Saccharomyces cerevisiae S288C: one gene and its partner. The gene in region 1 interacts genetically with each later gene. Each region holds a gene or a part of one and is shown in the gene's direction. Other genes may lie near its edges.

What was found. Genes that interact genetically often act in the same process or in processes that back each other up.
Region 2: mutations in AIR2 (region 1) and STR2 together harm fitness more than expected from each alone (negative genetic interaction), as found in Saccharomyces cerevisiae (2 studies listed by BioGRID).

Annotation. Positions count from the first base shown.
Region 1 is NC_001136.10:143,965-147,583, reverse strand, and holds AIR2 (TRAMP complex RNA-binding subunit), read left to right. Parts: upstream 1-2,065; coding exon 2,066-3,100; downstream 3,101-3,619. Other genes in the region: DLD1 (D-lactate dehydrogenase), read left to right, coding at 1-1,758; GID12 (Gid12p), read right to left, coding at 3,361-3,619. UniProt on the Saccharomyces cerevisiae protein: Component of the TRAMP (TRF4) complex which has a poly(A) RNA polymerase activity and is involved in a post-transcriptional quality control mechanism limiting inappropriate expression of genetic information.
Region 2 is NC_001142.9:665,538-669,296, reverse strand, and holds the start of STR2 (cystathionine gamma-synthase), read left to right. Parts: upstream 1-2,159; coding exon 2,160-3,759. Other genes in the region: MNS1 (mannosyl-oligosaccharide 1,2-alpha-mannosidase), read right to left, coding at 4-1,653. UniProt on the Saccharomyces cerevisiae protein: Catalyzes the formation of L-cystathionine from O-succinyl-L-homoserine (OSHS) and L-cysteine, via a gamma-replacement reaction. In the absence of thiol, catalyzes gamma-elimination to form 2-oxobutanoate, succinate and ammonia.

The DNA of each region.
Region 1 (3,619 bases):
TGGAAGCGTACTTGCACAAGGCTAATAAAGCCTATTGCACAACCTAGAGGAAGGCTGGTGAGAAGATCATGCTACAGATACGCCTCAACAGGCACAGGCAGCACCGACAGCAGCAGCCAGTGGTTAAAATACTCTGTCATCGCCTCTTCAGCTACTCTATTCGGTTATTTGTTCGCTAAGAACCTCTATTCTAGGGAGACTAAGGAAGATTTGATAGAGAAGCTGGAAATGGTCAAAAAGATCGACCCAGTAAATTCTACGTTAAAGCTGTCCTCATTGGACTCACCAGACTATTTGCACGACCCGGTTAAGATCGATAAGGTTGTTGAGGACCTGAAGCAGGTGCTGGGAAACAAGCCTGAAAACTACTCTGATGCGAAATCCGATTTGGACGCCCATTCAGATACCTACTTCAACACGCATCACCCCTCTCCCGAGCAAAGACCTAGGATTATATTATTCCCTCATACTACCGAAGAAGTTTCCAAAATTTTGAAAATATGTCACGATAACAACATGCCAGTTGTACCCTTCTCGGGCGGAACGTCCTTGGAGGGGCACTTCCTGCCTACAAGAATTGGAGATACCATAACCGTAGACCTGTCCAAGTTTATGAATAACGTCGTAAAATTTGACAAGCTGGACCTGGACATCACCGTGCAGGCCGGTCTACCCTGGGAGGATTTGAATGACTATTTGAGCGACCACGGTTTGATGTTTGGCTGTGACCCTGGTCCAGGTGCACAGATTGGTGGTTGCATTGCTAATTCTTGTTCAGGAACCAACGCCTACCGTTACGGTACCATGAAGGAGAATATTATAAACATGACTATAGTGTTGCCGGACGGGACCATTGTCAAGACGAAGAAAAGACCCAGAAAGTCGAGCGCTGGCTATAACTTAAATGGTTTATTTGTGGGAAGTGAAGGTACCTTAGGTATTGTTACTGAAGCTACTGTCAAGTGTCATGTCAAGCCCAAAGCTGAAACTGTTGCGGTGGTATCCTTTGATACTATCAAGGATGCGGCCGCATGTGCTTCTAATCTGACTCAGAGTGGTATTCATTTGAACGCCATGGAGTTACTGGATGAAAATATGATGAAGTTGATCAACGCATCTGAATCCACGGACAGATGTGATTGGGTAGAGAAACCAACTATGTTTTTCAAGATTGGTGGGAGATCTCCCAACATTGTCAATGCTCTTGTGGATGAAGTTAAGGCTGTCGCCCAGTTAAATCACTGCAACAGTTTTCAGTTTGCTAAAGATGATGACGAAAAATTGGAATTATGGGAAGCTAGAAAGGTCGCGCTATGGTCTGTGCTAGACGCTGATAAGAGCAAAGACAAATCAGCTAAAATTTGGACAACTGATGTAGCTGTTCCTGTGTCGCAGTTCGACAAGGTTATTCACGAAACTAAAAAGGACATGCAAGCTAGTAAGCTGATCAACGCCATTGTTGGTCATGCAGGTGATGGTAACTTCCATGCATTCATCGTCTACAGAACCCCTGAAGAACACGAAACCTGTAGCCAACTTGTTGACAGAATGGTCAAGAGAGCACTGAACGCAGAAGGCACTTGCACGGGTGAACACGGTGTTGGTATTGGTAAAAGAGAGTACTTGCTCGAAGAATTAGGTGAAGCACCCGTCGATTTGATGAGAAAGATTAAGCTAGCTATTGACCCAAAGAGAATCATGAACCCGGACAAAATCTTTAAAACTGATCCAAACGAGCCCGCTAATGATTACAGGTGAGTATCTGATTTTCCTTTTTCACCCTTCACGTAAACCTGAAATATATTTCATGTAATATATATAGTTCATCCTTAAAGAAAACATACCATTTCAAAATGCCCTTTCCCAGTAGCTAATACATGCTTAAAAATGTGATATATATTATTACCATCAAATGTATTCATGATCCGGGTAGTGCCTTTTTTTCCTTCAAACACTAATGGGATGGGAAGAAACATTTCGAAAAAAGTTATGACTATTGGCAGCATCAGAGAGAATTAAACCTTACCTGTACAACGATAGCAGCTTACATCACTTCCTCGCAGTCATGGAAAAAAATACGGCACCATTTGTCGTCGATACGGCACCCACAACTCCTCCAGATAAACTTGTAGCACCTTCTATAGAGGAAGTAAATAGTAATCCCAACGAATTAAGAGCTCTTAGAGGGCAGGGTAGATATTTTGGCGTAAGCGATGATGACAAGGATGCCATTAAAGAGGCAGCACCTAAATGTAATAATTGCTCTCAAAGAGGTCATTTGAAGAAGGATTGTCCCCATATAATATGTTCGTACTGTGGGGCGACGGATGATCATTATTCTCGACATTGTCCGAAGGCTATCCAGTGTTCAAAGTGTGATGAGGTGGGTCATTACAGGTCACAATGTCCACATAAATGGAAAAAAGTTCAGTGCACTCTTTGTAAGAGTAAGAAACACTCAAAAGAAAGATGTCCTAGTATATGGAGAGCATATATTTTAGTAGATGATAATGAAAAGGCTAAGCCCAAGGTCCTTCCCTTTCATACTATATACTGTTATAACTGCGGTGGAAAGGGGCACTTTGGTGATGATTGCAAGGAAAAACGATCATCTAGAGTACCTAACGAGGATGGAAGTGCGTTCACTGGTTCTAATTTGTCAGTTGAGCTAAAACAGGAATATTACCGTCACATGAACAGAAATTCGGACGAAAATGAAGACTATCAATTTAGTGAGTCCATATACGATGAGGATCCACTACCGAGACCTTCCCATAAAAGACATTCCCAAAACGATCACTCTCATAGTGGCAGAAATAAACGTAGAGCATCGAACTTCCATCCTCCTCCTTATCAAAAGTCTAATGTCATTCAACCAACTATAAGGGGCGAGACGCTGTCACTCAATAATAATATTAGTAAAAATTCACGGTATCAAAATACAAAAGTAAACGTCTCGTCGATATCGGAGAATATGTATGGCTCCAGATATAACCCTTCTACTTATGTTGATAATAACAGCATTTCCAACTCTTCCAATTACAGAAACTACAATTCTTATCAACCATATAGGAGTGGTACCTTGGGGAAAAGAAGATAACTTTAAATAGGAAGCCCTTTAACAAGCTGTTCTTGGTTACATTATATTTTCTTAATGAAAGATTAAAGACAATACCTAATTCGACCATTAATCAAAATAGCATGTAAATTTCTTACATCTTCTTGTTGTGAAAAAAAAAGGCCTTCGTGCAATCACAGGTAATAATAATAACATATACATACATATACGTAAATACGTCTTATAACTCCTGCTACCTCATACGCTATTTTCTATTATGGCTAACATCTATGCAACTCAATTTAGTCTCTTTTTACCTTTTTCACAATGAATGTATAAAGGTCCTTTTCATCGTAATCTAACCTTCTTTTTTGTGCATTTAAACCGTCATAATCGATTAGAGCAAGTTTGTCGACAAACCGATCTTTTCTATTTAGCTTTAGTGAATCGCACAGTTTTATTCTTCCTAACCTGCAGTTTTTGAAAAATTCGCCTTTAAGAACAGTTATCTCTCCTGCCATTGATGTTACCACCAAGTGAAACGTAAGGGCGCAAACATTG
Region 2 (3,759 bases), on another chromosome or scaffold:
AACCTACAACGACCAACCTGTGGTCAGAGACTGCGATTTTAATATTTCTTCGTCTAATACTGGAAAAGGATGAGCTTCTGTGTTGAAAACAACTTTGGTCAAATCAAACTCGTCTAAAAACAATATATATAAATACTTTAAAGTCTCTGCCAACCAGAAACTTTCCATATTGTTAGATTTCTTTGTAGGTAACGTGATACAATCACTTAAACTGGTGAACCGCCTTAATTTTGGGTCATTACAATCAACACAGGTATTTTCAAAGAAGCTAGTTGCGATTTCCGCCCCCCATTCACGATATTTGTGATCATGAGATAAATGATACATGAACATAATCGATTCCACCGTTTCTGGTCTTTGTAGGTTGTGCCTATCGAGTGGTTTAACAAAAAAATCACCCACAGACGACCGCCACCAACCATCCTGTTTTATGTTTCCATCATTGAAGACAACGATTTCAGGCGCAAGCCCCGAGGAAGACTGCTTGTACATTTGATAACATGTGTCAGTTATCCCTTTAGCCAAATCCCAGTCACTTTTTCTTTCAAGGGAAAGAGAGAAAAACGGACGTCTTCGGGCTTCATGAATAGAAAGGCCCTCAGTAGAGCCTGATGCTAACAATCCCCCCATAAAGCACACGAGGTGGTCCATCTTAGGAGAAAGTTGTCCATGTAGACCTTGTTCTCTTTCCCCAATGTACCACAGAGAAGAGGGTTTGGATTGTGCTAATAAATGCTTTTTCATACCTTCCATGGATTTTCTGTACAGATCATAATAAAGTGTTTCGTGCGTCAATAAATATTGTTTTAGTAAATACTCATAAAAAGAATCACCTCTTGATCCGAACCGGATAGTCGAAGCACCAAACTTCCCAGTATCTGGAAATGTATAAATTGGAACCAATCCATCGTAGGTATTTAGAAGATCGTTATTTTTGTATAATGGCTCGTAAACACGCTCCACCAGCTCCCAATAAGTACGATTTCCTGTCAAATACGCCAGATATTTGAATTCCATTTGTAGCGTAGTGAATTCTGCGGTAGAAGATGCCCCCCCATCTGCATGGTTCTTAACCGCTTGGCCACTATGAAGGTTTATACTTGAGTATGGAATTCCGGTCTGAGTGGATAAGAACGCCAAAGCAAGCCTATCCCCCAAATCTATTGCTTTGTTCAAGTAGACAGTCTTATTACCTACTTCTAAAACATCAGATAGATGATATGCGGATAATAAACCACCTAGCATTCTAATAGTAGTTTCAAAAACATTCACTTCGGCATCAATATCAAAATCCAAAACATCGTTTATCCAATGCTCCGATCTCTGAATTTCTGCCTCGAACTCACTTTTGTATAGTGTGGAGGAGTTATACATTAACATCAAGGTATCCACTGAATCTACGATAATCCAGCCTAACGGCTGGTTGCCACGAGGCATATTATGGGAAGTGTGCTCAATAGGTCCATACACATCGTATCCCCAGCCATGCTTGGAATAGTCTCTCCACGATTCCAAGAACATGCTTTCAATCCGATCTCTCATTTCTCCGGCCCCCGGTGACTTTCTCTCAAAGTGTTCGTACCATGGCACATAGTATATAGCTGCTATGATAGCAACAATGGTTGCAATTGAAATACCGACAGAGTTCTTCATAGAATCCTTTTTCAATGTTTAACCTTTTCCTCTTTTACTACCTTTTTCTGTCGTCTTTCGTTTCTTGGCAAAGCACATTTCTTTCATTCTTTCGTTTGGCGAAACTGAAAATTCCAAATAATTGCTCTTCCACAGAAAATGCGTTACAACCAAAGTGAATTTGTAAAAGTTTAACCCCACATTTTGCTACAGTCTTATTTAAAAATAGCAGTATTCATATTAAAATATCTTGCGGTTTAAGAACTCAATTAACTTCAATGATTGCCAGTGTTGTTCAGGTAAAACCCTTCAAACCTAGTAAATATGACTTATCTTCATGCGTGGATGTAAAAAACAAAAATCATGATAGCGCCTCTGCACTTCACAATATCTCGGTCTAAAAATTAGTCATATATTTTGGATATATATATATATATATACCCATATATATAACGATAGTAGAATGACGCTCATGTGCCGATTCGGGACCTACATAAACAAGAGAGAGAAGAGGAACAGAAGAAAAAATGATATCTAGAACCATTGGTGAATCTATTCCGCCCAACACAAAACATGCTGTTTCCGTGTGTTTGCCCACATGGGAAGCTACAGTAGGCTATGAAGAGGGTGAAAGCAGTATAATTAACTCGCTTACTACCGGATATCCAAGATTTTTCATACACAAGTCAATAAAGAAATTATGTGAAATTTTATCCGCTAAGTACTCCATGGAAGATGAAGCTTGTCTTTGCTTCCCCTCTTACAAGGTTGCCAATAGGTGCAGAGAGTTTATCAAAGTGAAAACGGGTCTTTCTACCAAAGTACGCATCTTACAACTATGTACACCTAAACCTATGAACCAAGAGGAAAAGCTCTGGAGAAGGGAATGTAAAATCACGGTGGTGTTTGTAGACCAGGAAATATTCCCCGTGATGAAGCAGTATTGGCAACATTCTGGTGAGATTGTATCTAGCAGAATGGCGGAGTATATTTTACATGAATTACAAGTCAAGGATAATCTTAAGAAGATGGAAACAGTGGATAACGGTAAAAAATTTATGACCGAAGATGAAAACAGAGTGAACGAAGAATATATAGAAACGAGATTTGGGAGAAATTTAAATTTTCTTGCTGCTGATAAAGCCAAATATCTAATACGAAAGAGGATTGCCACAAAAGTTGTTGAAAAAATTGACTCTGAAGGTCTATCGGACCTATTCTCTTTTGAACACTATAACGAGAGCAACGGTCCATTCAATGTTGGCAGTGGAGAGGCTCTGGATGATGATCAGTTGAATTCGGACATACCTGCCGAAACAATTACTTCTATGGGAGAAAGTGGCTCAAACAGTACTTTTGAAAACACAGCTACCGATGACTTGAAGTTTCATGTCAACCCTAATACGGATGTTTACTTATTTCCAAGTGGAATGGCGTCCATTTTCACTGCCCACAGGCTGCTTTTAAACTTCGATGCCAAGCGCTTATCAAGGTCTTCTAGTAGACAAGATAAGTTGATTGGATATGGACCTCCGTTCAAGAAGACCGTCATGTTTGGATTCCCATATACAGATACTCTGAGCATTCTTCGGAAGTTCAATCACACACATTTCTTGGGACAGGGAGATTCAACGTCAATGAACGCTCTGAAAAATATTTTACATTCTGGTGAGCAAATACTGGCGGTATTTATAGAAGCTCCATCGAACCCACTGTTGAAAATGGGAGATTTACAAGAACTGAAAAGGCTATCAGACTTGTATTCATTTTACATAGTGGTCGATGAAACTGTGGGTGGCTTTGTCAATATAGATGTATTACCGTATGCCGATATTGTTTGTAGTTCGCTAACGAAAATCTTCAGCGGCGACTCGAACGTTATTGCAGGATCCTTAGTACTAAATCCTAGAGGAAAGATTTATGAGTTTGCTAGAAAATTTATGAAGACTGAAGACGGATATGAAGATTGCCTATGGTGCGAAGATGCGTTATGCCTGGAAAGAAATTCGAGAGACTTCGTGGAACGTACAATCAAGGTGAATACAAACACTGATATATTGTTAAAAAGGGTGTTATTGCCTCAGGTGGGAAAATTGTTCAAGAAAATATATTACCCCAGTTTAACAT